Linked DNA regions of Coturnix japonica. The main gene of each other region encodes a partner of the protein of the gene in region 2 in a complex. Links are inferred from orthologs where the notes say so. Each region holds a gene or a part of one and is shown on either strand. Other genes may lie near its edges. The genes, in order: IER5 and PPP2R2A.

Region 1 (14,267 bases), on a different chromosome or scaffold from region 2:
TGCTCACAAAACCTGGCTCAACAAGGCACCAAAAGCACGTGGCTGATGGCACCCAAGCAGCACGGGTGTCCATCAATCCATCCAACCATCCATCTGTCCATCCACCCTCAGGCAGCTCTCTTGCTGAATCACTGCCCACCCCCTGTAAGGACAGCCCCAGGGGCTGTGCTGCACAGCCCACCCCCACGCGCCCCCAAGGCATGGAAGGCTGCAGGCACATCCCCAGCACATGCCTCAGTTTCCCCACAATGAGGATGCTCATCGCCCACTTGGGCCTCTATGTAGCTCAAATAAAAGGTGATCATTAGGACTGGAGGGAGAATTAAAGGTATGAATCACTTCCTCCCCTGGCTCCCTCCATCCAGCTGTCACCCCCCCCAGAGAAGCCCGAGGGGAACATCCATTTCTCCTCCTCTGCTCTGCAATGAGCACCAAGGGGACACGCTCACTCCTCATTTCCAATCAGCAGCAGCCACGAGGTGCTGTTGCTCTGGGAGCCACCAAACACCTCGACATGCACCGAGGCTTAGAGCCAATGCCATCTCTCTGCAGAAAGAGCCTTGTGGGGCTCCACCAGCCTGATGGTAACAGAGCACAGACATGGGGCACAGGCACCCCCCATGGCAGCAGGGTGATGCTGTAGAGCTCAGACACAGCTCTGCAGGATGGGGAGCAGTAGAATTGGACCCTGTGGGACAGAGACAATGTCCCATAGGACTCATAAAGCTCAGTGCAGCTGCTCTCTCTGCACTACAACAGCCAACACACAGCAGCACTGCAAGGTTATAACAATAGAGCCGTTGTTTCAGGTACAATATGTAATTAACCTGCGGGACTCATCCCACGAGGCTAATTTGGAGCGAGGGCTGCAGGGAGCTGTGCACAGAATGGTCACATACAGCCAGGAAAAGGCATCCCCATGCTCCATCCAAACCGGGAAGCAAAGGAGCCCTCAGGAAATGCCAAAGCCCAGCACAGGGCTCTCTCCCTACCAACACGTGCTTAGGAACAAGGAAAGGCCCTAGAGATGCTCCCTAGAACACTACACTGGTATCACTGTCATTTAGAGCCCTCTAGGCTCTAGTTTTCCTTGCATTATCTGCTATACTTTGGGCTCAGATTGTTTCCAGTTTTTGTTAAGCACCTACAGCAGCACCCCACACCAGCAGCACATACCTGGACCCTGCTGCCCCACAGTTGCTCCCGGAGGCCCTAAGTTCTGCTAGCAGCCCAGAAGCTGAGGGCTGACAACCAGAGGGCTGGTACTGTGTCAGCAGGGATGTCAGATGTTGACACAGGCTGCTATCAGCCCCTGGGAGAGGAGGTGACAACCATACCATTTACATGCAAGCAGCACAAAGCTGTATTGCTACAAGCAAAGGGAAATTGCTTAACCACATAACCAAGGTAGGGAATTAAACCTGTTGGGGAACAAAAGAGAGGGGAGTACCTGGGCAATGCACAGATTGAGGCTCCTCAGAAGCACTGATGGCACACAAGGACCCCTCACTGAGTCTATAACAGAGAACATCACTACAGTGGGAATCCTCCAACTACAAACATAGCAAACCCAACTAGCAACTCAACACAGCAAAGGGAGACAGGGTTGAGCTTAAATCCCCATGGGCAGCAGGGGGGTGGAAGCTTCAGGTGAGGCCACTCAGCTCCTCAACCAAGTGCCCAGGTGTGCAGGTGAGCTGATGGCTCTTCTCAGCTAGATTTAGAGAGGGAAATAGCCAAATGACTTTAGTGAGAGCAGGTGGCCCAAGCTGGGGGAGTATTAAGTGGCATCGTTATACCAGGTGATGCACATCAATGTTAGCCAGTGTGTGTACATTGAAGGACACGGGCTGGGTGTCACCAGGTGATGGCAGGGCATGTTGAGTAGCACACCCACCCACCCACCACCTTGCAGTACCTCGTCCATCCATCAGGAGGGAGGGCTGTGCTTGCAGACCCCCCCAGCGCTGCATGGCCGTGCAGGGGCAGCTCCTGGCTGGCAAGCTTCTGCAGGCCTCCACGAGAGGGCTTTGCTGCACAAGGAAAGGAGGAGGTTGGCTGCTCACAGACCGGCAGCTTACCCTGCATCTCAAAGCGAGCAGCAGGCAGCAGGAGGATGTCAGCACCGTGCTGAACCTGGAGGAGATGCTTGGAAGGGAGATGACCCCTCCGAGGTGAACTTGGCCTTTTCTGGTCCTGGAGCAGATGCTGAGACCCAAAGGGGCAGCTGCCAGGGTCCCAGAGCTCTCTGGGGGCAGCTGGATGGATGCACCCTGCTCCCAGCATGAGGCTGAGCGCCCTGGAGATGCATCTGCTGCTCTTCTCCCATAGGAAAGGGAAAAGGAGAAAGAAGGATGTGAGAGCCACATGTCCATCTGTCTGCTCATCCTTCCCCAGAACATGGCTCTATGCCAAGGCCTCGGGTCAGGCACAGCCCTGGAGCCAGCAGAGTTGGGCACGTGGGGGTTCAGTGCTGTCCTGGTTTGAATAATAAACAGGAGAAAGCAGCCTGCTCAAAGGGCAGAGTGGATCTGCCACCCACTCTTGTCAGAGCCCGCTGGGGATTTCTGTCCCCTGTTGCTCTCACAGCCACTTCCTCCCACGTGCTGCTGACAAAACCCCAGCCAGGGCCCAGCCTAGTGAGGGTTGGGGGCCCTGCTGTGTGCCTGGGGACGGGGCACAGCACCGGGGGCTCCTCATCACTCCCCTCCTTCCTGCTCTCCCACCCTTCCTGCCTCTCCCAGCCACTCTCTGTGTCCTTCCTGCCTGTCCCCTGCCCCATCCGCTCTTGTGTTTCCCTCCTCATTCCCTTTTCCCCTCCTGCAGGTGGTTCCCAGCCAGCTCTGTGCCCTCAGTGCCAGGAAAAGCAGAGGGGGAGCATCTCCCTGGGAGTCACGCTCCTTCCTGTGCCTGCATGCACAGAGCTCAGCTTGGGGCTGGATGTGCCTTGACCTGTCCTGAGCTGCTGCTGAGCCCCAGGGCTACAGGCTGAGGTCAGAGATGAGGAACAGGAGGAAAAGGGCCTTTCCCTAGGAAGAGGCACAGATCAAGGGAACAGGACATGGGGTGACACACTGGAGCATCCTGCACCCCATGCATGGCCAGCCCTGGCTCTCCAAACCAACACACTGCTCAGCTGGGAGCCAGAAGGAGCCCTCCCCAGCAGCTCTGTGTTTCATTACTGCTCTCACCCAGCCAGGGGGGCCTGCAGGGTTTTCCTATCAGTAGCAGCAATCACAACCAGAAGAAAGCTGTTTGCGTTCATCCCCTGCCTCGGGGACCCCAGCCAGCCTGGATTCGCCCTTCTCCATTCACTCAGCAGCCCCCACCGGTGCGGTGCCCCCCCATTCCCCAGCTGGGAGAGGCCCCAGCAGCGCGGCCCCGAGGCGCTGGCCTCCCTCCCGGCCTCCCTCCTCCTCCCTCCTCCTCCCTCCCTCCTTCCCAGCAGCTCCCGGATTCCTGAGCGCTGACACAGCCCCGCAGGATGCTGCAGCCCACAGCCTGCCCCCTCCTCCCCTGCCCGGGAGGCACGGACAGAGGCCAGGACGGGGTGCACCGGGATGGAGCACTCGTGGGGGACACCCAATAGGACCCTGGAAACCACCTCTATGCTCATCCCCTCTCAGAGGGCTGAGCCATCCCAGGACGTGTGGGTTCGGCCCTTTTATTTGAGCCTTGGGCTCTGCATCCAAGCCCAAAGCAGCCCCCTCAGCTCCAGACCACACTGAGGAGCTGCTCCCCAACAGCCCCACTGCTGTTCCAGGAGGTGAGGACCTGTCATCTTGCCATTAGATCACATCCGTCCGGGCCCTCTATTTCCATAGGAGTTACCCTTTCTTCCAAGTGATGGAAGGTTTTATTTTTATCTGGCTTATTTTTGCACTCCTTCCATCAGCAGCATTGGCACGGAGGTGCGGTTGGGCTGCCAGCCCCTCCCCAAGCCTACAGCCCTGTCCTTTCCCACCCCTTCGCCCTCAACGCAGCACCGTGGGAAGGGAAACTCCAAGGACCGAAACACTGGAACAGAAGAACGGCCCTTGTTTATGTCAGTGTTATTACAGGAACGAGAAAAGACGCAGGGAAGGAGGCGAGGAAAGGCAGATCCTGGGACCCCCGAGCAGCTCCTGAGAACATCGGGCTGCTCCAGCTCCCCCGGAGCACTTTCCTAAGCCCTGCTGCCAGTTATGCAAAGTATCTCCGGAACAATTGGAGCTGCAGCCGCCCTTCCCTGCGGCCAGCGGGGTCACCGCAGCCCTGGGAGCGGCCTCCAGCTCCCCCCCACCCAACAGCCGGCACTGAATTAGGCTGCGGGGTCCAACGTGGCTGCGGTACGACAGCGGGGACGGCTCCAGCAGCCCACGGAGCCAGCTCGGGTCCTTCGGGGACAGCGCGTGTCAGCTGATAAGCGAGAAGCCGGAGGTCACCCAGCCGGGAGGAGCCGCAGCAGCAGCGTGGCATTTGCCAGCGGTCCGGCTGTTGCACAACGCCTGTAGAAGGTGGAGCAGAGCCGAAGAACCTCCTCCCCATCTGACAACCAGTTTGGAAGAGAATTAACAGCATTTACAGCCCGCTGCCCGGCTCTCCCATCCCGACTTTTGGGTCGCATCTCCCAAGGGCGCACAGCAGAGTCCTCAGTGGGAGGGATCGTTAATTAGGAGCGGAGGAGCCTCCGGTGAATATCCCAGCGAGAAACTGAAGAACAAAAATTCCCCCACAATTCAATGTAATTACAACGCCCCGGGGCGCTCCGCGGTGGCTGTGAAGCACAGGCCAAGCTTTCCTCCCCACCCATGCGAGCAGGAACTTTAACCCAGTTCTTAGCAATAGTAGGAACTGCTCATCGTAACCACCGCGCAAGTAACAGCAAACAGGAGGCGAGGAGAACGACTGCTGGCAGCGGAACAAGCAGCCCCGAGCACAGCCTATGCCTGGCAGCGGCAGCTCACACGCCCCTAGAGCAGGACTTTGAGCCACAGCCATCGACCTGGAGCTGGGAGCGGGTTGGAACGTTGGGTCTACAACAGAAACCCAACGTAACCCAACGTAACCCCCCCTCACTACCCCACCCGAGGTAACGCGGGGTGCCTGGCTGCCACCCCCCACCCCACAGACAAGGATTCAGCCGCTACAGTCGAAAATATTTAATACGTGTCACACACGTAGCAATACATTTCATACAAAACGAGATACATCACCGAAGAGAACACTGTACAAACCCCCCCTCCATCCCACCCCTACCCCAATACGGGACCCCTAAGCCTTTATACAACAAAGGCCGGGGATCCCCGAGCCTAACAACCTCGGCTCACGAGGACTTTCCGTCGGAGCGTCTGTAAACTTCTGCTTCTCTCCAATAACCACTTTTTAAAAGCACCATGTAACAGTTCTGCCCTAAACCTTTCCAAAATAAACACTTTATTTAATAAATTTAATACTTTCCAAGCTTAAAATATCCCCCGCTGGGAGCGCCCCGGGGCGGGGGATCGGGAAGGGGAATTCCGGGCGGGTCGGGCCGCTCCCAGGGCGGCTGCCGACGGTCGGGGCCCGGCGAAGGGGAAGTGCTGCTGCCCGCTGTTCTTCCGTGCGGGGCCGGGAGGGGGGGAGGAAGGAGGAGGGGGGCAGCTCCGGGTCTGTCCGTGCCCCTCCTGGCGGTTAGAAGGCCACGATGGCCGTGCTCCACGGGTTGAGGGTCCGCAGCACGCGCTGATCGCAACAGATCTGCCCCGGCTCCGCGTTCGTCTCTTCGCTGCCGTTGAGGCTCGGCCGCCGGCGGCCCTGCGGCTCCTTGCTGAGCAGTCCCGAGAAGCTGGAGCCGAAGATGCTGATGAGGCTGGCCACGTTGCCCGTCTCCATGTCCTCCTGCTCGCCCTGCGGGGGCGGCGGCGACTCCTCCATCTCTCTGCGCGGCTTCTTCACGGGCGAGCCCTGCTGCTCCATCTCGGCGGCGCTCCGTTTCCGGGGGCACAGCGGGGGCACGGAGCAGCAGCGCCCGGCATCGCGGGGCCCCTCAGCGCCCGCCCCGCAGCGGCAGCCGCCCCACGAGCAGCGCCGTGCCGGCCGGGAGCTGCCGCAGTCCGCGTCGGCCGATGGCCGCCCGAGCCTCGGCGCGTCCGGCTCCGCGGGCGCCCAGGCGGCGGGACAAGTTGGAGCGGGCTGTGCCGGCGGCCCGCAGGCGGCGGGGGGCGGTTCGGGAGGGCAGCCCGGTTCGCTCAGGTAGACCTGGCGGGCGCTGCGCAGTACCAGCGACACCAGGAGGTTCTTGTGCAGCTTCAGGCCGCCGCGCTGGCCCCGCGCGCTGTAGATCTTGCCCAGCGAGATGCTGACGATGCGGTGCGCCTCCAGCTTGAACTCCATGGGTGGGCCGAGGTGAAGCCGGGGCTGAACTCGGGCCGATCCGCTCCGCCGCACAAACGCACACACTCACTCCGCTCGCTCTCGCCGACGACTGAGGGTGCCCACGCGCCACGCCTCCCTTTATACCGCCCCAGCGCCGACCAATCAGAGCGCTCCGCCGGCCGCTCCAACCGCCGGCGCGCCGGCCAATGGCGGGGCAGGGTAACGCGTTCGAACGCTCGCCCCGCGGAGAGAGCCCTTAAAGCGGCAATGCCAGAGAGAGGCTGGTGGGGCCCACCTGGAGTGGAAGGCAAGCGGGGATAGCGCCGGGTCGTCTTCTGCCACTAATTCCTGCCAAAAAAGCGCTTTGAGAAGCTTTCATCCCTTTGTACCTTACAGTACACAAGGGGCAGCTGTCTTTGATGGGTTTATTCTCCATTTTATGTAGAATACATGAAATACGTTGGGGTTGGATTCACTTTGTCCAGGTTGTGAATTTGGATTTGATTCTTGCCTCTATCCCCAGCCCAGCTCCAGGAAGCAATGGGGGCAAGAGGGCGAGGGCAGAAGTGAAAGGACAGCCCAGGGTATCGCTTTCAGCCTGCTGCCTTCCTGTCTGCCATGTGACGGCACTTCCCACTTCTCCCTTTCTCACCCAAAACAAGAGCCTCACTTGGTATTGAAGGGCAGGACGTGAGGTGCAGGGGCTGCCCGTCCCCATTGGGACTCAATGAGCGTGGAAAAGAACCAGCAGGGACCCTTCTCAGAAGGCTTCAGACCCCCCTCCCCAGTGCACCGGCCTCTGGGCTGCAGAGAACAGCCCCGGGCAGAGCAGGGCTTTCCTTCCCACCCTGCTGATGGGAACCAAGCACTGCTGTCCTCAGCGATCCCAACCTGTCCGACCTGCTCCGTGCTCAGCCCGACCGGCCGGGGCACCTCGGTGCTGTCATTGGGTTCTGTGACCAGCCGCGTGTGAAAACAACGGGGATTCTTTGTGGGTGCTGTGGGACACGAGCCCCTTGGTGCTCAGCTGAGCCCGGTAAGAATCAATGCCACAGAAGCAGGGCTGGGGGTGGCTGCAGAAAGTCCGGCCCAGCTCAGCCCTTTTAAGCCGGGCGGTATTTTGGTGGCAGCCCCGCTTTCCCTCCCAGGCTGATGTCATGCCTTAGTAAGTTTGAGGCAGCGTCACATGGCAGCTTCTGAGGTCAGCGCTCGCCTTGGGGTGGCTTTGTTGTCTGTCTGTCTGTACCCGTCCGCCCGTCGTGCCGCTGCTGCTCCCGTTCCCACGCGGGGAGGTGCCGCGTCCCCGTGTGCGTGGCCCAGCCGAGGGGCAGCGCCCCATCCATCCCCGGCAGGAGCCGGGCGGGCAGGGTGCGACCGGCCGCTTCTCTGTCCGCGTGTGATCTGGGCAGGCTGGAAAGGAGCTGACAAACAATTCGCAGCCCTTCGGCACAGCTGCCGTTTCCCGAAATAGCGGGGCCGGCAGACAAAGGTGGCTCGGAGCGAGCAGGAAACCCGGGGGGCCGAGCGGCGGGGAGCCCGCAGCCCCACCTGGAAAGGAAAACAATGCGAGATAAAAGAGGCTCGGGACAGGAAGCAGCTTGCGGTACAACATCGTAATCGCAGAGGCTGCGCACACGGCTGCTTTTTTATAGGCGATTCAATCAGCTCCGGGAAGTTCGCTCGGGGGCTGGCGCTGCTGCCTCGTGGCACGGGCTGCCCACGGCCCGATGGCCGTCTCATATCAGCTCTCTGTCCGCCTCCCTCGCGCTATCGGAAATATAAGGCGAACGGCGCTTTGTCACGTCCCGGCAGCTCTCGGGTCCCGCTGCCATCAGCGCCGGGCCGGGCCGGGCCATCTGGCACGCAGCGCGGCCCCCGACCTGTCGCCGAGTGCGGATGTGGTTACCCAGATCCTGTTCCAAGCTGGCGCCGACCCTCCGGCAGCCGGCACTGCGCCTTGTCAACACATGTGAGCCGGGCAGATACTCTGAAGGAATGGGGAGCGATCCCGGAGACATCCAGGTGTCCTCCAAGCACGGGATCCTGGAGCCTCCCCGGTGCATCATCGCCCTTCTCTTGGTTCGGGGGTTGGGCTCCTCCTGGGACACAGACTCTCACACCAGCAGCGTGGTAGGGGATAAAACCCTTCGTACTGAGCTTCCCCAAGTGACAATGGACCTCCAGGACATCTCCAGGCTCCACTGATGAAGCAACCATTCCCAAACAGGGCTTCGTTTTGTAGCCAGAGATAAGAGATATCTAACGCTGAGCATCGTTTGGGTTGATTCTTCCCTCCTAGATAAATCAATGGTTGACACAGATGCAGTCTCAGCCTCCCGCTGTTGGGTATGGGTAGGTAATGCTCCCCGGTTCCCATCTGCTCTGGGTTATCTGTGTTTGAAGACAAGGGCAGAGAGAACATCCCCAAATACTAAGCACTGCTGGGTGACAACCCAACACAACACGCAAGCGAAACAAAGAAAGCAACACAGACCTAAAGCTGAAGGAAGGGAAGTGGCTCCCCCAGCTTCTGAGAGTGCTCTGTACCTGCACTGGAAACCACAGCCTCGCGTTCACACAGCGCAGCACCGTACTAGAAAGCAAAGGGGTTTTTCCAAGGTTAAAACCCCTCTTCCATTCGGGGAGATCATAGAAAGGCTTAGGTTGGAAGGGACCTTAAAGATCAGTGAGCCCCAACCCTGCCGTGGGATGGCTGTCCCCTACCAGTCAGGCTACCTAGGGCTCCATCCATGACCTTACAGGGATCCATCCAGAGTTAGGGCACCCACAGCTTGTCTGAGTTTGGATAAGGATGTAGATGGTTATCAGCTCCTTCAGGCAGCCATTTCCCTTGGAAAAAGGTGGCCCCACAGCTTACAGTCCTTTATGAAATTGGCTTTGGTTTCCTGGGGAAAGAACACATTTATTTGTCCGGGGTTTCCTATCAGACAACCCTTCTATTGTAGTCCACCTTCCTGTATTTTGTTCCTCTGGTCCTTTGGTCCTCCTGGTGCCCAGGAGAAGCCCAGCACAGCACTGGGCTGCTGCTCACATGATGCCGACTGGGTGATTTGCTCTGTGCCCTGAGGGATGCTCTCACTCCGTGCCAAACAGGAGCCTGGGTTCACCTGCAGCCCAGCACAGGGTTAAATCCACACATCAGAGCCAGCCGAAGCCGCAGCCCTGCAGACTGTAGGGTAGGCTGCCTGCCCAAAGGAGTCACAGTCTAATTATTTTCTCTCCCTGCATCTCAAAGTCACCTTCCTTTTAGCTGGCAGGCAAGTGCCGGCTGCAGCCCTGCGCACGTCGTGGAGCACAGATGTGCCCTGTGTCCCACAGCTTCCTGCTGGATGGCAATGACACTTGTGTCACGCTGCCATGCTCCAAGCTAACAGTGAGGGACCACGTCCAGGCATCCTCAGAGTGGCATTCAAGGACAGAGCAGCTCACAGAAACATCAAATCACGGCATTGTAGAATCATGTAATCACAGCACCATAGAATGGTTGGGTTGGAAGGGACCTCAAAGCCCACCCAGTCCCATCCCCTGCCAAGGGCTGGTTGACCCCCACCAGATCAGGCTGCTCAGGGCCCCATTCAGCCCTTTGTGTTGAATCCCTCTCTCCAAAATGAAGAGAAAGCATGAAATGTCTGTGCCTCTTTCCTCTTGTGAGGACCTTCCTTTGCCACCTTGCCCTCTTGCGGGGCTGACTGTGTGACAAGGAGTTTGGGTACAAAAGCCACCCGTGGACATGGGGATAATGAGGACTGTTGATGGGGTGAGGTGGCCAGAGAAAGTTGCTTCTAATTAGTGCCTGGAATGGATTCTCTGGTCACACACGTGGGTGCCCCAGACCTCCTCTGTGACCCACTATAACAGTGCAGCTCCCACTATCCACCCCACAGATGGGGCCAGTCTAAGTCCTGTCACCAATCCATCAAGTCTTGCCAAACCAGCACCTCATTACCCAGATAAATAATCCTTTTTAGCTGCAGGTAAGCCCTGAGCATGGCCAGCATCCTTACAGGCTCAGTGCTGTCTGCCCCTTTCTCACTTCTCACTTCTCACTTCTCAATTAAGTCACAGCAGGTTTCTAAACACGATGCTCATGGAACCTCTTTATAAACCACAATGTAAACCCTTGCAGCCCACCACAGCAATGACTGTTTAGCCACAGACTGATGTTTCCCATCCAGTTATCACTGCCTTAACCCTCCCCTCACAACCACCATTGAAAAGCCACCTCTACTATATCAAATACACCTTGTTAGCAGCAGGCTGAGCACATCCCTGTGCATGTACATACATGCCATAGGAATTCTCCTGATAAAGCATTCCGTGAGCCCTGTGCTTTCTTGCAGGTTGGATTGTGATGAGCTGGAGCTTCCCAGTGTTTCATCAGATCCTCCCTGGCCAGTTCTGCAGCTGGCTAATGCTCACCAACATGAGGAAAGCTAAAAGCTGCCTGGCCTTTCCAAGCCAAAAACCTGAGCTTGGATAGCAAGATGAGCCTACTGTGAAACAACAGCAGTGCAGTCTTATGCAAGAAAACCCCCATTCATCATTTCCAGCATCAAAGAAAAGCTTTCTGCCTTCATTCTCCCTATGAAGTTCATGTCTTAGCCCAGCATACAGCCACCTCCTGCTGTATGCACCCAAGTCGCTGTGTTTTCCCATGCCCATAAACCAGTCCGACGTGTGTCCTCACCCCTGACTCGTGAGTAAGCGTGCTGCGATTGCAAAAGCCACTCACCTGGTTCCCATGCTGAGGAGGCATCTCTGCAAATGGGTTTTCCATAAGCAAAGCAGCACTGCCTTGGCTAAGGGAGGCTGGGCCTGAGCATGGGGGTGTGGGGCACAGCGGGATGGGGGCAGCTGAGGGATGGGGTGGTGTGGAGGAGCTCAAGGGAGATCTTATTGCTCTGTATAACAGCCTGAAAGGAGGCTGTGGTGAGGAGGGGTCGGCCTCTGCTCCTGGTAACAGCGATAGGATGAGAGGTGATGGATGGCATCAGGTTGTGCTAGAAGTTCAGGTTGGGTATGAGGAACATTCCCCCTCCAGAAGAGCAGTGAGGCACGGGACTCACTGATCTTGAGTGTCATGGAGGTACTGGGGACACTGTAGGTGTTACAGAGCAGTGGAAATACGGCACTGAGCGACACAAAGAGTGACACTGGAGGGGTTGGCAGCCGGGCTGCCCCATCCCAGCGCTGAGGGGAGGCGCAGCCGACGCCATGGCGGGACGGGGCGGGCGGCTGGCAGCGGGCAGCCGCGCATGCGCGCAGGGCGGAGCGCTGGGCAGCCGGGGCGCTCGGCGGCGTCGGCGCCATCATGTCGATGGAGGATCCGTTCTTCGTGGTGAAGGGGTGAGGGATGGGGTTGGGTGTGGGAGAGGAAAGGTGAGGGTTGGGGAGCTGGAGGGGTCTGTGAGGGGGGAGGGAGAGGAGGGAGCTAGGGATGCGAGGGGGAATGTGGGGGGTGGGGGCTGTGAGGAGGAGAATGAGTGCTGGGGTAATAGGGAGGCCTTGAGGGGGAGGGAATGGGCTGGGAAGGGGATGGATGAGGGTGAGAGGTGTGGGGAGAAGAGTGTGGGGTGGGGGATTCTGAGGGGAGGTGTGAAATGGGGGGGTGTGGGGCTGGGGGTGGTGAGGGGCCAGCAGGGATCTGGGGGGTCAGTAGGGACCTGGGGGGGCTGAGAGGTCAGCATGGATCTGATGGGTCAGCAGGGATCTGGGGGTCTGTGAGGGGTCAGCAAGGATCTGGGGAGGAGGGCTGTGAGGGACCAGCAGGGATCTGGGGGGCTGTGAGGGGCCAGCAGGGATCTTGACAGTTCTGTGAGGGTTCTGCCCCCACTGTCACCCCCAAAGCCATTCCCAGCTGTCCTTATCATCGATCAGCAGCACGTGGGATGTGAGGTTGGACATGTCACCGTGCAGTGGGCAGAGCATGGCTGGATGCAAAGCTGCTTCTCACCGAGGGTATCCCCAGAGCACCAGAGCATAGTGACCATGCTGAGAGATGATCTGAGGAAGAAACACACATGGATAGTGGCACTGAGGAAAGCCTGAACAAAGACAAACACAAAACAAAGGCAGTTGAGGTCAGAGGAAAGGGAAACTGGAATTAATAGGGGGGGGGGAAAGAAGCTTAGCTTCCAAAATTCAGCGTGCAGCCACTTTCAACTCCTGCTGTTGCTATCCTGCTCCACGTAGCAGTGGCACAGTGCTCAGGAAGGGCAGTGGGAAAAGCCAGGTGAGCACAGGAGGTGTGGGAAAGGCTGCAGGGCAGCCAGCAGAAGGGGATTGCTGCCAAGCTAAGCTGATGCTGGGGGGAACAAATGCTAATCGTTGTGGGTGGGAAGCAAACAGCCGGTCAGACTTTCCAGAGGGTTTCCCGCGCCATAAGGGGAAGGGCTGGGAGGGGAGAGAGATGTTGTGTTGTTCCTGGTGTTAATTATTAGCCAGCAGATTACAGTGGAAGGAGTTGAGCCCAGCCACATGGCATTCAGTTTGCTTCCCTGGTGCTTGTAACTCCTCCTGTTAGGGTGTCCAGCTTTGAATCCCTGCTGGTAGGTGCTTTTCCAAGTACACACAGGTGAAATAAACCAGAACTTTTGCTTGCAAGCAGCAGAGAGAACAGAGCAGAGCTGCTGACCTTAGGGCTTGAGACATGACAGCCATTGACATGGCTGCTGCCGGCTGCAGACGTGGTTCATCCCTTCTGGGCTTTCCCAACAGATAAACTGCTTTCCTTTGCTGGAGATAAATCCCTGCGTCTTACGTGGATGCTGACTTTCTGCTGGCTGACACACCAGCACAACATCGTCTGCATCTCTCATCCTGGACATGAGAGATTTGTTCCCAGGTCAGGGCTGCAGTGTCTGTAGGCACAGAGAATTGCTACCTGCTGCTCGCCCCTGATCGCAAAAGCAGCATTCAGTGCTGTCAGCAAAGCCTGTGTTCCCATGTTGTGAATACACTCGTCTCCAAAAAGCTTAGAGCAGCAGAAAAGACTTCTGTTCCCTAAGCCAGTGTAGTAGAGCTGTGTAGTTTTTTAATGCTAACTTAAGATAAACAGTGCTGGACACAACAGTCTGCCTGACCACTGTGTGGACAGTTCCTATAAACATCATTCATCCTTGGGGTATCTCACTTAGGTAGTCTTTAGAGGAATGCAGCACATTAATTGCCATGAGGGCAGTCTTGTCCAGCCGCTCACACTGCACTGTCTCACCTCTGTGTCACTCAGCAGAAACTACTCCTGATGCAATTGGTCTTCTTGTTAATTGTGGTAGCCGACCTATAAGTTGTTCCTTGTCCCTTTGTGCTTCAACAGGAGAGGAGACTGGGTTGTTCAGTGGGTATGGCGAATCCTTATTGCACAAAATGAACTAGAAGGAAAGGTGCTTGCAGGGAGGCTGCAGTTCCAAGCTCTTCTGGGCATGGCGTGTCCCAGCATGACTGCTGCAGAACAGCTGATGTGGTTCCTTCACTTCTCTTTCTTCACTCCAACCTCAGGGAAGTGCAGAAAGCTGTGAACACTGCCCAGGGGCTCTTCCAGAGGTGGACAGAGCTCTTGCAGGATCCCTCCATTGCCACAAGAGAAGAAATCGACTGGACCACTAATGAGCTCAGGAACAATCTGCGGAGCATCGAGTGGGACCTGGAAGACTTGGATGAAACAATTAATATCCTTTCTGGAGTTCTTTGGAGGTTGGGACACGCAGTTCCCAAGCTGTAATAAGTAGCTACGTCCCAGCTCTCGCTGGTAGTTAATTTTTGCATCAACCAGGACAGTCAGGGATTGAATTTTGCATTTACCTCAGCTTTTCTCAAACAGCAAACGAGTTCAGCAAAAGAATTTCCCTCTGCCTTTTGTCTTCCCTTTGACAAGGTATATTATAAGACGCTTTGTTCTCAGAAGCCTGTTG
Region 2 (15,047 bases):
CAACGTGTCTGTTTTAATGAAGAATTATTTGCAAGCATCTGCCACACAACCGTAATTCTTCCCAAAATTTGCACCTTGAGGATTTAGCTTGACGTGCAATTAAAAATAAAGGTTAGAGAATTTAAACTCGATCAAAGGAAATATTTACTACTTTTAACAGTAGTTCACAGCTCATGCCTTAAAATATACTTCCTCAAAAGCTCCTAAAATAAGCTTTAAAATAAAGTTGTTTTCTTGCTTCCAAAGTCCATCCTTCAGCTCACAAAGCGACAGCAGCATTTTAAAGCTCCTTGTTTGCCACGTGTTGCAGCCAATATATAAAATCAGACTCTTGTTTTCTGCCTCAAGTTCATCTCGATCACACATCGAATGGGGAAATAAAGGGAACTGCAGCTATTGCTCTTCTAAACCCAACGTTCATCTCACTTGTCGGCAAGCCAGAGCAAAAGAGTAACCAACTCCTGATCTTACAGGTCATACCATGCCAACAGGAACCTGTGGCCAAATGCATTTACAAGTCCATAACTATCTCAAAGCAAAGGGAAAAGCAGAAGTGTTGCCCACCACCACGACTACCCAAACAGCACGCAGGACTCCTCCAAGGATGGCCAAGCAAATAAGAGCAAGCACATTTCTTGTAGTCACTAAGATGGCTGCTTCTGATTGTAAGAGATGACATTTGTCACTGCCAGCACTGCTGTGGTGTTATATATATGTCATAATATGCAATTTCCATGTTGTTTCTAACACACAACTCCCCCTCCAGCTTTGAGGTAAGCAAGCAGACACAAATACTTTGATTTCATCCTCCTCTGGTTAACAGAAGTTGGGAAGACTGAGGAAAAATAATCACTCTATCAAATGCTTGGATCATCAAAGAACACCAATATTAATTAACTGCTACACCACTTCCCTGTGGGATGCAAGGATCACGGTCCAGGTTAGGAACAGCAAAAGCTGAGTGATGGGGAACCTGAACTGTTAGGGAAGACAACTACAGGTGGACACTCCTGAAGGCTGAATGGAGTCCTTCAAAGCACGAAGAGAACCCTGCTGGTGTAGCCTGATCCTGAATCGAATGCCCTGAATGCACATATGTGACTTGGGCCCTTATGTTTGAGATTGGGAAGATCTTAATCAAAGAGCAGCTATAAGAAGCCAGGGGAAAAAGGATAATCTGAAAGATCTCTCTTACCTTCTGCTACATCATCATCCACAGCGCCTTTCACCTGAGAAAAACACCACTGAACGTCATTTCCTCCTCCAGCTCCTGAAAAAAAAACACAATACAAAAAATGAGACCCCCCACCGCAACAGGAGCCGCCGACTCGAAGCTTTCAGACAACACCGCGCACACCCACTTCCTCAGCAGCAGCGAGGTCGGCACAGCCACCCCTCCCCACCTTTTCCCTTTACAGATATTGTTTTTGTCCTCAGCACTTTGCTGGCGTCCACCAAAGCAGCGTTAGCGGCAGAAGTGGATGGGAGCAGCTCATGGGGCTCGTACTGCTGGCACCAAACCCCAAAGCATCTTATTACACACAGAGCTGCTTCCCACTTTAGAAATCAAAGCCCTCTCTCCCAGCACACACAAAACCTGGTTGGGAAGCAGAAAAAGCTCTGAATGTGCAGAATATTTCAATAGAGAGAAACCAAGCGTGCCATTCATTCCCTCCCTTTCCAAAAGCCCCCCGAGCTGAACTTAAATACTGAAGGCTAAAGGAAATAATTCTACCAGGAACGAAAGCAATTATCAGCTTAAAAATAGAGGTGAATAAAAAGCAAAGCAGCAAATCCAAGTAGAAAAGCAAAGCAGCGATAGGAAGCAATGAGCTGTAATACCATAAAACACAGAGCGGAGAGAAAACTTGAGGAACATCCCTGCCCCGGCGGGAGGCGGCGATTCATTTGAAACCCCGAACCAAAACACGGCACAAAAAGAAAACCACCACCCATTTCTCTTTTACATCGACTTGTGAGCAAATCACCGCCGGGCTGAGGACATACAGGAAGGGGCTGACACGGGCCTGCCCTGCTGCCTCACTATTTGTGGTCCGGCCTTTTCATTTTAGGGCAAAGCCAATGTCAAAATGGAACTTTCCCTCGACGCGGTTTCAAGCGGGATGAGCAACAGATGGCAGCGATATGTTAATCCAAAGGGCTGCTGCCGTTCTCAACATGTAGAAGGGACTGCACCCCTCTCCTATACCCATCCATGGGAAGGATGGAAGGAGATAAAGAGGTGGGAACCTGAAGCCCAAATACAACCCAGGGCTTCTGTGGGGGTGCTGAATGTAACCCATGAGTGCTTGCAGCTCGCTCTGCTTTCCTTCCTGAAGGATTACAGCAAAGCAAAGCACACAGCTGGACCTGGTGAGGGCTCCAACAGCACTCAGCAATGCCAGAGATGCCAAAACGCCTTTAAGCAACGATGGAACTGCAAAAATACCCCCCCAAAGAGCCCCCCACCCCCACACAACCCGCTCTCCTCCTCCTCCTCTCCAACCCTCTTCCTCCGTCATTCCACGCTGCCATGGTGCCTGCTGCTAAAAAGGTGACGGGCTTGGAAAGAGAAATCAATCACTGCCCTCCATGCATGATGGCGAAAGGCCGCCTTCCAAACGGCTACGTCCAACCGTGCCGTTTTCTCCATTTATTTTTAAGAAAACAACAAAAAAAGAGGAAGGAGGAGATTGGAGGGGGGGGGGGAAGCCCAGCACAAACCCGCTGGAAGGGCGATGCAACCTGCAGGAGAAGGAACGCGTTCCTAAAAGCAGCCTGCCAGGAAAAGTGAGGAGGAAGAAGGAGGAAGAAGAGAATCCCTCATTGCACGAGCAAAGCTCCGGGATGCAAGATGGAAAGCGACGAGAAGGGACGCACCGAAAAGCCCGTGTTCCCTAATTACAGCCCCTCATTTATAAAGCTGCGGGGACCCCCCATCGCTCGGGGGTAACTTCCCAATCTCCCCCCATCCCCCTCCATGCCCGGCGCTCCCCTCGTGCCATTTTCACGCAGGGCCGACTGCTGAAGCTGGAGACCGACCAGGCGCTCCCCAACCCGGGGGCGGCTCCACCGTCTACAGCCCAGACCGCCCCCACCCCGGGGGCAGCAGCCCCACCTGCGCCCCCCTCCACCCCGCAGCAGCAGCAGCAGCCGCCCCTACCCCTTACCTGCCATGTTGGGCTCGCGAGAGCGGCCGCTGCGTGTCGGTCGGGCTCGGCGCTACGCGGCGGTGCCGCCGGTGCCGCGCTCGGGGCGGCCGCGGGGGGCGGATGGCGGCGGATGGTGGCGGGGGTGCGGCCGAGCTCCGCTCCTGGGGCTGCCCCCGATCCGCTCCTCGTTCCGGCCCACCCCCCCCCCTCAAGGCAGCTCTACTTTCAAAATGGCGCCGGGCGAGATGGGGCTGACATCACCCGGAGGGGGGCGGTGGGGGCGGAATGGGGCGGGGCGGTACAAGGCGGCTTCCGTAGTGTATGTCCGTGTGCTTCGCTCATTCATTCCTATTCTCCATCCCATCTTTACTTTCAGGCTCTGATTTCACCCAGGAAATCATTGCCCTTCCCAGCTCGGAGCCATTTTTATCCGCCTTCCACTTCGCAGATCCCCCTACACCCACCTGTCCCGTAATTAACACACAGCACTGCAGCCATCACTTCACCACCGTCTATTTAAGATCCCAGAATGACCCGGGTTGGAAGGGACCTTAAGGATCATGTAGTTCCAACCCCCCAATCTCAATCATAACCTCATCAGTTCACAGATATCTGTGCCAATGCTGCCAAGCAGGGCCATGAACCTCCAAATCTATTAGCCCAGGTTGCCCATCCAACCTTGCCTTGAATACCTCCAGATACAAAGCACCCACAGCCTGTCTGGATTTGAGCCCATTGAGCATCCCTAAAGAAGCTCCCCCTTTGCTGACAATAGCAGGACACGGGGAAATGGTTTTAAGTTAAAAGAGGGAAGATTTAGGTTGGATGTTAGTGGGAAGTTCTTTACTAGGACAGTGGTTAGGCCCTGGAACAGGCTGCCCAGGGAGGTTGTGGATGCCCCGTCCTTAGAGGTGTTCAAGGCCAGGTTGGATGGGGCCATGGGCAATCTGATCTAGTAAAGGTGTATGTTTGGTGGCCCTGCCAGGCAGGGGGGGTTGGAACTACATGATCTTTGAGGTCCCTTCCAACCCGGGTCATTCTGTGGTGCACATCAGAAACCCAGAACCAGTCCAGCTTGCAGGAGAAAAGCATCTTTATCAATGCATCCCTCTAAGGCCACGCATACAAATCAAACAGTTCTTGGGAAGAAAAAGCAATGTTGGGAACGCAGCATGTAAACGGGTGTTCTTTCAACTCACCTAAGTTTGGGAATATCTGGAGCCACATATTTTGCTTAGTCCATTTTGAGAGCAATGCAGAAACCTGGAGAGAAGCAAGTATGTTGGAAAGCATTCACAACCAAGAGCTCCTCCTGGACTATCATGGTGCTCAGAGCCTTCCCTTAACACATGGCCCACGTCTTCCAGAACTCAGGATCAAATGCACTCAACTCTACAGATCTGTGTATTCACTGTACTCCAGACCTGGCACAGAAGCTGCCATCCCTCGTGCTTCAGGATGCCTTAAAGCCATCCTCACCCCTACACAGAAGGGAACAGTTCCAAGCGAAGCCCCATTGCATTCTGTATTACTACTACAGAACTTGGCCCTTGTAGCAGAACGGGCGTTGTTGCAAAGGACTTGCAATTAGCACTGTAATATAAATTAACGAAGCTTTAGCACATACCTTATAATTAGAACAAAGTCCTTCTTATAAAAGACTTAATATCACGCTGCCAGAACGAAGGATCGTAATTCCAAACGTTTCAGGTTTTTGTTTTGAGCTAACTGAGCTATAGAACATAACGGAGTATAATAAATAATTAACATTAAATCACAGCCACAGTAATTAGTAAGACATCTTGGGAATCACAGCCTTTGCTCGCTTGCTAATTCAGACAGACACACATTCACGATAGCATTAATGGCTGGGGCACATTAACAGCAGCATTTTGCAGCTCTGCTTGGAAGTTTGTAAGCACATACAGAGGTTTATAAGCACATACAGAGGACCCTTGAAACCAAAATGTGACCAATGGCCAATTAAAAGCTACACATTCATATCAAATCGCTGATCAAACAACTACAGCCCCAGGAACTCTTGGGGTCACCCGTCCATTTCGTATCTGCTTGGCTTTCCTAGCAATTTGACCCATTAGACAAGACTATAATGAATTACAACAGCTCATATTAGGAATAAAAGGAGTAATCATCACCAAAGTTATCGCTGGAATTGAGTAATAGCTGGGTTCACTGCAAGTTAACATCAGGGCGATGCGATTCATTCCTGCAGCACGATCTTTGGGGCTTCGTATGGCCTGAGCACTAAGTATCTCAGCAAAAGGGGTTTCTTCATTTCATGCCTCTACGCATGAAGCCACTTAATTAACAGCCATTATCAAAACTGTGCCCTGCCTTTAATACTACCAGGTGGAGGTTCATGCTCACAAGAGGTCAGGCAGCCCCTGCTTTGTGATAAGCAAGCGGCTCATGCCATCTCCAAAGCGTCAACGTTATTGGATTAAAGCTCTGCTATAACAAGGGGAAGCCTCAGCTTTCTCTTTCAGGAATCACAAAGGCTTTTCTTCCTTGACTTTGGTCTGGTTCAAGCAAGCTGAAAGACTAATTAGACTTGGAAAGAATTTCATGCACTCATTAAAGTTGTAGTTTGCAAGACCGGTTTAAAACCAGCTCTGAACTTGATCTGTTTAGAGCAGGTTTAGGTTATAATGCCTGAAACCACCATTTGCAAAATACTGGTTTAATGGATTATTTAAGCCCAATTTGTAGAGGATTTGGACACCTGAATTTTGGCAGGAGATTCGTTTTTCAAGAGTGAAGAATTGAAGGCAAGAATGCAAGGAAAGCAGGGCTTCTGGGGAGGAAAAATGGCCCTGGAAGTAGTGGGCAGCAAAACAAGTGTGTTTTAATTAGGAGGGCTTGTTTGCGAGGGTAGGAGGCATCTCAGTATCTTCTAATTATAAAGACTAATAAAAGAGATGGCTAACTTGACATCCATACAAAAGTTGCATTCTTACCATCTTTAATTTTCTCACTAGGTTTTGATTGGCTGTGGTTACTGCTATGGGAAGATGAATCTGACCACAAAATAAAGGACTTACGATGGGAAATGAGCTTGAAACTGAAAGCACGGCTACAGGGCAAGATAGGGGATGCACCTGAAGGAGGCCTAGTCCTTATCATCTATTAGGAGGGATTAACAAAGCATGTAGTTCAGGATCACCTGGAACCTCTTCAGCTTCAAATCTTCCACCTCAGGGTGATTTGATCTTAACCCAGAGCTCTGAAACCTGTTAGCAGCAGAAAACAGACCACGTAAACAAGAAAAGAAGAGCAGAGCAAAACAGAGACATTAAACCAAGCACCAAGAAACACAAAGCGAGATATTCAGGAAGCGCTTTAGTCTGATAAGAGCAGTTGCACACCTGACTGCAATGCAAAGAAAAGACCTTTCCCTACTGGGAATACTCTCAGCAGAGCTGCTCTGTGCCCAAGGGCAGAGCTGCCATAGTCCTTCCCAGCTCCAGTTTTCACTGCTGATGCAGAGAATCTCCATCCTTCAGCCTGAAAATACACTTTCTTCGTACCTCTTCTGAAGATGTTCCCAAGCAGATAAATCCAAACACATAGGACTCAAAAACTATTAGCTTGGCTGCTAGAAGAAAGATGGTTAACGATCCTCAAGCTTGGAATCTGTTAAGGTAGACAGAATGAGCACAGCAATAAAGTAATCCTTACAAAAACACAGTTTCCAGGGAAAACACCACTTTGTGCATAGACTTAACTGAGAATCTGCTGCATCACCCAGAAGCACAAAGCAGCTCCCAGGTAAGAAAGGCTTTGCTCACCACCACCTTAATGAGGCACAAGGCAGGAAGGGGAGGAGCTGAGACAAGAAACCTGAAGGCCATTGCATTGTTTTATGTTTCTTTCCTTTTTTCAATCTATTTTTTTTAACCTCTAAACCTCCTGACCTATATGCTGAAGTGTTTATTTTGGGTGGAGGGTTGCAGTGGTGTTGAGGGAACAGAATTGCTCAGTCCTTACTAATAAACTTAAATAGGTGATGTAAGTAATAGCCTCAGAAACCTCTATGAAACAAATCCCCTTAACAAAAGCAGGAAGCTAAAGCAAGTGTGTTACAAACATTGCTGTCTATGGGATTTCCCTGTTAGGTTTAATAGTGAGGTTCAGTATCTTCTATTTTAGATCCCTCCCGAAGCGATGTTCCTATATGCATTAATTAACAAGCTATTATCCTTTGCTGTGTGTTGGAATAATTACACCCACACAGGTTTACTTCAAAAGGCGTGAGTAAATAGAAGTCTTAGTTTGAGTGCTGTAGTTAACCTGTGTATATCACTGAAGCTGTTAATAAAACATATATGAAAGCCAGCTGATATGAAAAGAGATCCTTAAAGACCACGGGTTGTGGGAAGAGATAATTGAATCAATCTGGGATCAAATGCCCTTGAAGACTTTGAACTGGAGCATCCTTGCTCTTGATCCTCACCTCTACTGAAGCCTCGTGCTTTTGGTGTCTCATTGTGCCACTGATGGAAGTGAGGGGCTATGGACAAACTGATGTCCTGGAATCACAGGAAGACATAAAGAAATTCAACTCTTTGGAGCTGAAACTGTTAGGAAGCATCCTTTGCTTTGCTCTGCTTTGCTTTGCTTTGTCACACAGTTCTGGTTGCAGGTTTGTAAAAGTCTGAAGGTATTGCCAGGAATGAACTGAGAAGGGAAGGAAGGGAGGCTGAAATAGCAGACTGAATTGTTCCATTCACATGGCTTTTCTGCTAGGGAATAAGTTAGCAGTGTAAACAGGAGAGAGGTGTGGTTTGCAGATTGGACAGGAAATCCTTAGTTCTAATCCTTGCTGTGTTGTTGATTCCCTTGGAGACCTCGAGCAAAAGCTTTCTGCCCCTATTTTATTTTTGCCTTGGAAATGAACTGAGGATGATAGCACTTCACGAGCTTCTAGGAGCAGCCTTTCAGTTAAAACATTTATAACGTGCTTTAAAAAGAGCTCGTGGTGCATGGGCTTGAAAGCAACTCGGCTTCATGCTTGAGGTTGTTTCCTTACTCTGCTCTGAGCTCCAGGGACCTTTGGGGGCCCAAAACAGCCTTTGTTTTTCTTGCTCGTAACAATGCAAAGCAGATGATTTACCCAGGATATAAGGAAATGTAGCCCCACCAATAGCCATTGTCCAGAGTGATTTGTGCTCAGGCATTGCTCTGCTGCCCTTAGCACACAGCGTGGCTGCGTTTCGCCCCAGTGCCAAACCTTATCTCCTCTCATTCTCTCCTTTGGTAAAACCAGAATGAGGCTTGTTTGACAGGATGAGGGGAAATGGGTTTAAAATGGAACGGGGTACACTGGATATTAGAAAGAAATTCTTTACTGTGAAGGTGGTGAAACACAGGAACATGTTGTTCAGAGAGGCTGTGGGTGCCCCCTCCCTGGAGGCATTCACATCTAGTCTGGATGGGGCTGTGAGAAGCCTGGTCTGGTGGGAGGTGTCCCTGCCTATAGCAAGGGGTTGGAATGAGATGATCTTCAAGGTCCCTTCCAACCCAACCTATTCTATGATTCCATGTTTGTTCACTTCCCCACAGTAGCTTTTGACTCAGTGCCTGATTCCAATGTGGTCTCATAGGAATGGATGCTTCAGTGAAATCCCACTGCCTACAGATTTCAAGGAAAGCTGATAGGCAGACAGATTGATTTGAGTGTGGACCTCATTAAACTTGAGAGAATCCATCCAGGCAAAGACGTGTCACAATGCTTCTTATGTGGCTAAAGCTTTAATCCAAGCTTGCATCCTCCTCCATCCCAGAGAACCCAGCAGTAAGGCTCAGGGATCAGACATGCCAAATAGCTCTGCTTGCAGAACTGCTTTTTGCAGCTCTTGCTGTGTGCAGAGCCTCCCCTACTTGCCCCCTGTTGGTGACATTGAATCCAAGGCTGAGTAACTCCGAGGCGGAGAATTGCAAGGTTGGAAACAGCCAGTTTGCCATATTACATGTTTATTATAACCACAGAAAGTTATAAGAGACTGCCTATAAGGTAAATGAGAGATGCTCTTTAAAAGAGAGCTGTTCTCCAGGCAAATCTGAACAACAAAATGATACTTCTGTGCATTCAGTGCTGGAAAGTTTTCCCCCTCCAATTAAAAAAAAATAAGGATTTGAGTGAAATTTCATCTTAACAAAACCCCTCTCAATCTGCACACCCAGGAATTATATTTATTATTATTTATTACATTATTTTACTGTATTAAAAGGCAGCCTTCTTGAAACAGAAGGTGCTTTCCTTCATTTGCAGGTTGTATCAGGGTAGGGGCTGCTTTGGATAGCACTGAAAAGCAGCTATTTAAAGGGTAGGTTTTGAAATCGGTTCAGCAGCAAATAGCATTACAGCACAGATCAAAAATGGGCTCATTCTACACTTCTTTTCTCTATCAAAATCAAAGGTGTGCTCCAAATTAGAAGGCTGGCGAGGAACTCACAGGAGCTGGGTTTTGTTCCCTGTTCTGTTGCACATTCGTGTTGCATGACTGAAGCAAATGGTCTGATCTCTTACTAAAAGCAGGGACAACGTTTTGCAAGGTTGGTGTGTTTGGATCCTCTGACTGCCCCTAATGTTAAGGATCCTGGCTTCTTTCTGTGCCTCTCAATGCTTCGTGAGTGACAGTAATTATTCCTTGCTAAGGAAGGGTTGAAGTTCCCTCTGATTTCTGTGCAGAACGTGGGTTGGGTTAAGATTCAGTGCAGCGTCAGAACAACTGCAGAAGACAATCATAAAAATAGCAGAGAAAATGGCTTGGGAAATGCAAGGTAGAAAGCAAACACCCTTGGTAGGGTAGAAAAATAACTCTATGAACAACAGTGGCAAAGAGATGCAGGGACCACAAGCACTTTAAGAACATGAAACATCTGGAAGAAAAGAAAGCCTTTGTCCCTTTAAGTGTGTACAAGGAGTCACAATCTTGATTTATCTATTTCTTTATACTCCCATCTGAGAAGGTGTAGGATTTCAAGGGATGTGCCAAGCACGAGGACATGATGCTGGATGGCTCCAATGGGCACCAGCTTTGGTTATTTTTGGACACATGAGTACTCTGTCAATGACGCCAGTGTTGCAGCTGGAACAAAGAGAGGCTTCTGTTTTGTTGTGGAGATAAAACTTGAGTGGACGCCTGGAGGAGGGGCAGCAAAGGGGAGGAAGGCTGCACGCCATGACCCATATCACGTTTTGCTAACAACGGCGTCCATTCATTGCTTAATTAAATCGTTAATTAAGTTCCACGCGTGGACTCGATAGAACAATTCATTGTGGGCTCAATGCAGTTTCCAACCTGTTGAGGAGAACAGAAATCAATTCGTTGCCATTCCCTGGATGTTGCCCACCTCACGGAGCACCCATCGATGTGACATCATTGGCTGCCCTTCATGGCACGAGTGGGCTGTGCTGAGTGAGATTCCCATGCCCTGGGGGTGGGGGATGTTTAACACAGACCATCCGGAAATAGGAACATCAATTTGTAGGCTTGTTTTGAAAAGAGGGAGTGTTGGTTGGAGCAGAGAGGAGCAGGGGAAGAGCATGAAGTTTATGCTACAATTAGAATCCAAACGTTTTGATTTTTGGAGAGAACTGGACAAAATTCTCTTAAATGCTTCAAATGGGAACCTCTTTGCTCTTTCCCTTTCACTGAAACCTGTTTTGAGTCCCCAAAAATAACTCGTAGAGGTCAGGTCCCTCCCATTTATATGTTCACAATGGTATGTGGCATTTCAGTTAATGCTCAGAGCCAAGAATACTTCCAAGTTCTTCGGGGCAGCTCTGGGTATTTGTCCTTGATGAACCCAATGCTGGCACTCAGTGTGTGGACAGGGTGGGAGCTGTATGAGGCTGCTGGGGGAATTTGAGACGGGAGGTCATAAATACTGGACAATTTCCACTCTAGGTCATGGTTGATGAATGATGAGCTAACGTGGCTTGTAGAACAGGGAATGTCTTGTCTTCTTCTAAAATATTTGTTTGTACACCTGTGTTTTTCTCTATGTTTTTTAGGATAAAACCCGTCAGGAAAGGGAAGCAAAAGATGAAACAGATGAAGCAAATGTGGAACAGCAGCAGCGGGATAACAGGCAGCTTCCTTTGGGGTATTTCTTTCCCAGTATCTTAAATACAAGAGGTGAGAGGATAAGCAGGAATCCTGAATCCCATGCACATGCGAGTCTAGTTAAGCAGAGACCCAGCAAGCTCAGCAATGGAGTCTTCTTCTACCACTGTGTATATCACAGTGGGACAATGCAGCTTTGCCTGCAGGCAAAAGTTGTGCTGTTTGTGTGCTCGTGTTGGGGAGCAGCACCCAGAATTTCCTTCCCTTATCTCCACCTGCAGGCAGCCACAGCACAGACCTGTGCCTGCCAGTACAGCCAAATTGCACCAGCTGTCTACAGCTGGTCATAGAAAGTGTGCTCCATGGGCCTGTAATTGCATTTACTCACCTAATTAGTGGTGAAAGGGAGAGTTCCATGCCAAAAAGAGAAGTCTGATGAAGGTTGCTTGGTGAGAGCAGCTGTAAGGGTAACAAAAACCAGCCCCAGCTTTGGGGAGGTCAGAACATGTTACTGGTGGGGCGTCTTTGGAATAGGCTCCATAACCCCTTACCTTTAAATTTACTCACTAATGTGAAAGGATAGATGGCTAAAGGAGCTTTGAACACAGCAGAATGCACATTCCTAAAGTCACAACTTGGAAATGTAGGTGATGCCTTTTCCTCAAGTTTACCAGTGCAGCTGTGCAGTAACCACAAAATTCAGAGCAATATACTGCCAAGCAAATGGACCTTTGGACACATGACAGGGCTTGCAGTGCTGAAACTCAAAACAAGCTTTCAACTGGTTTAAAACACCATCTTGATTCCCATGATGTTTGCACCTTTCAGGATCAAGACTGATCTCGGTAGTTCTTGTGCTTCAGGTAGGTTTCTGTATTAATTACATTGCTGGTTTAACTTCCAAATCAGAGCTGGGTGAATGACTCAGCTGCTATTTTATTGCTACCCTTTCAATTTTAGGTGGGAAATGTTTTATATAACTGCACTGTGTCACGTTTTCAGCTGAGGAAAGACATGTTACTTTGCTGCCTCAGGTCCTGTGAGACCTTCTAACCCATAAAAATGGCAGTGTAGCATTATCCTCTCCTATTAGACATGCAAGAAAATACATCCACTGATTGTTTATCTTCCAAAGAGATGAAAGATCACAATTTAAATACTCCCCTTCCTCCCCATCTTTATCTGTCCAATATCTATCAGGGACAATGAGGAATGTTCAGGAGTTCCCAGATCCAACCTAAACCTTCCTTTAATCCATCCTCTATGTCCACATTGCTGCCTGTGCTGGGTGACAGCCTCCATAGGAAAGTAATTAATTCCTCCAAGGTTTTTCCCATTAGGGGGTTTATCTATCAGTGCTGTATTGCAGTAGGAAATGCAGTAATGCTGCCACCTATGGAAAATATCCCAAACCCGACCTTTTGCAGCCCAACAAAATGCTTCTGCAGCTGTGAAAACAGGATCTGAATGTGCACCATTGATCTGCAGATAAAACCACGCATTTGTTACGGGGTCTCAGTTAATCTAAACGTGAAGGGAGCTCAAATTCTCTTCCTTTCAAATAAATTAGTTTTGAAATTGAAATTGTTTCCGGAAATTGGTCCTTAAGACAATATTTTTACTTGACGGTGGCACCTGGAGGCCTCAGCATAAAAAAACCCCACCGCCCTATGGTGGTAAGTGCTGTGAAAACATCAGACAGAGCTGGGCAGCACTTCCAGCCCCCCATCTTTCCTCACAGAGGTGTGGAAGATGTCAGGGAAAATTAAGTTCTTCAAGGATCAATCTGACTTCTGCACATGTGTAATGAATGGATTTGCTTTGGGTGACTGCTGTGGGGTGTTGCTCTGTGGGTCGATGCTGTCCCCCAAGAACGGGGATTCCATCACCTCCTTGGGTAGCCTATACTAGTGCCTGACCACTATTAGTGGTATAGTATTATAGTGGTATAGTATTCTTTCTTAATACATATATATATTAAGAAATATACTATATATATAAATATAGTACTATTCCTTCTTAATATCCAACTGAGCCTCCCCTGGTGCAACTTAAGGCCATCACATCTTTATTGCAACATCCTATTGCTGTTACTGGGAGCAGAGGACGATCCTCACCTCACCAGCACCTCCTTTCAGCCTTACAGCTGCTCTGCCCCATTAGCAACACATGGAGTTGGTTGCTCATGGAGGCTGTGGATGCCCCATCCATGCAGGCATTCAAAGCCAGGCTGCATGTAGCTCTGTGCAGCCTGGGCTGGTGCACACAGCAGGGGGTTGATGACCCTGCACACAGCTGGGGGTTGAAAGCAGATGGTCACTGTGGTCCTTTTCAACCCAATGACTCTATGAAAGCACTGAGGGGAGCAGCAGGCAGTGAACACTGAAACCCAGGAGCAAAGCTGTGCCAGCACAGGCTTCTTCCTCATAGAAAAGCAGACCTTGTCCTCCCCACTTCCTGACCTCACACACAGAACAGAGAATTCCAATAGAAATCTGAGCAGTACATTCAATTTTTTTGTCTGTTCAGTTTAAGGGGAGGAAGGAATGAGTCCTTACAGGTGTGAGCCCCCACAGGTGCCCTTAATGATCTCTTAATGAGAACCCTGGGACAGCCCAGAGGCACAAGCAGAACCTTCTAGAACTTTGCAAGCTCACTTGGACTCTTGATATAAAGCCCCTCTGCCACATGGCTCTACTTGCTGGCAGTGCTTTTCTCTCCTAGAAATCCTTCTTGTGAAGATGCGTATCTGGTAAGAATCAATTTATTTTATGGTGATATGATGGTGGTTTTCTTGTTGTAGTTGTTGAGTTTGGTTTGGTGCTGCTTTGGGCTTTCATAACAGTGTGAGAAAGGGCTTGGCCCCTTTATTTACCTATTATTACTCTTTGCAGTAGTGATGCTTTTGCTCTTATTTTCATGGTGTTGTTGTTGCTACTTGACTTGGGTTTGTTATAATCAACCTGACAGTAAAATGGTGGGAGAATGTGCTGTAGGCTTTGGTTGCTCATGCAGGCCTGAGACCTCTAGAAAAAGAGGAATTTATCCATAAATGTCTACAAATATTCTGATTTTCTTTACATTTATCTTGTTTTTTGTCTATTTTGCTCTTTCTTTGCTGAATAAGACACGTGTAAGATGCTTTTAAAGGGGAGGGGTGGAAGTACACTGGCTATGGGCCTACCTATAGGCTTTATCTTTTTATCTGCTTCAGTTTAAACTAATATTCTATTGTTCCAAAGTTATTTTTCTGTGAGTTCTTGTGTTCTTTTTTTCCCTCTTTCTAGCTCTAGGCTGGGAGAAAGCATGTTGTTTTAGGGTGGTTCCAAGCCTTAGCCTAACATGGAAGGGTCATAGCACCTGCCTAACAGAAAGGGGTTGTTGTATGGAGTTGTATGGAGAATGGAAATGTAAGGATGGGTAATACTTAGCGTGGCCTTAGTCCTGAAAGCTGTTCCAGGTGTCCTGGATTAGCTGCTTAGCACACTGTGATTGGGCAGCTGTGCTGCTTGCCCTGCTCAGGGCTGTTATACAAAGCAAAGGAGGCAATGTGGAGGAACACATAAAAATCCAATCTGGTGTTAACGATGGCAGTGCTGTTGTGTAGCAGAGTAATGAGAGCTGAGCAGGGAGCAAAGGTCTGAATACTCAGGTGATGCTCGTAAGACAAGGCTCAGCAATCAGCAGTGTGGGTTGTTACCTTAAAAAGCATTGCTAATTGCTGTGGGTGAGACTGGACTTGAAACTGGACTTGAAACCCTTGGCTTTATAGACTTGCTTTTGTTAAGTGATGTGAAAAAAT

What was found.
Region 1: the proteins of PPP2R2A (region 2) and IER5 are in contact, whole or in part, in a cryo-EM structure (PDB 8UO5), measured with the Homo sapiens proteins. The link is inferred for Coturnix japonica from reciprocal best matches to the Homo sapiens genes PPP2R2A and IER5. Residues at the interface, in NP_002708.1 of Homo sapiens: Glu91, Ile92, Glu93, Glu94, Asp116, Tyr178, His179, Asp197, Leu198, Met222, Leu225, Thr226, Glu227, Val228, Thr230, Ser247, Phe280, Phe281, Glu283, Ile284, Ser287, Cys334, Tyr337, Glu338, Asn339, Asp340, Phe343, Lys345; in NP_057629.2 of Homo sapiens: Ala7, Arg9, Ile10, Ile13, Ser14, Lys17, Arg25, Gly26, Lys29, Leu30, His31, Lys32, Leu34, Leu35, Val36, Leu38, Val39, Leu40, Arg41.

The regions. Positions count from the first base shown.
Region 1 is NC_029523.1:5,888,200-5,902,466, reverse strand, and holds IER5 (immediate early response gene 5 protein), read right to left. Parts: upstream 6,510-14,267; 5' UTR 6,355-6,509; coding exon 5,653-6,354; 3' UTR 5,126-5,652; downstream 1-5,125. Other genes in the region: STX6 (syntaxin-6), read left to right, coding at 11,669-11,703, 13,855-14,024. UniProt on the Homo sapiens protein: Plays a role as a transcription factor. Mediates positive transcriptional regulation of several chaperone genes during the heat shock response in a HSF1-dependent manner. Mediates negative transcriptional regulation of CDC25B expression.
Region 2 is NC_029537.1:1,779,285-1,794,331, forward strand, and holds the start of PPP2R2A (serine/threonine-protein phosphatase 2A 55 kDa regulatory subunit B alpha isoform), read right to left. Parts: upstream 6,757-15,047; 5' UTR 6,742-6,756; coding exon 6,701-6,741; intron 6,404-6,700; coding exon 6,337-6,403; intron 4,416-6,336; coding exon 4,352-4,415; intron 3,376-4,351; exon of another isoform or gene 3,178-3,375; coding exon of another isoform or gene 3,171-3,177; intron 1,895-3,170; exon of another isoform or gene 1,880-1,894; coding exon of another isoform or gene 1,843-1,879; intron 1,271-1,842; coding exon 1,196-1,270; intron 1-1,195. UniProt on the Homo sapiens protein: Substrate-recognition subunit of protein phosphatase 2A (PP2A) that plays a key role in cell cycle by controlling mitosis entry and exit. Involved in chromosome clustering during late mitosis by mediating dephosphorylation of MKI67.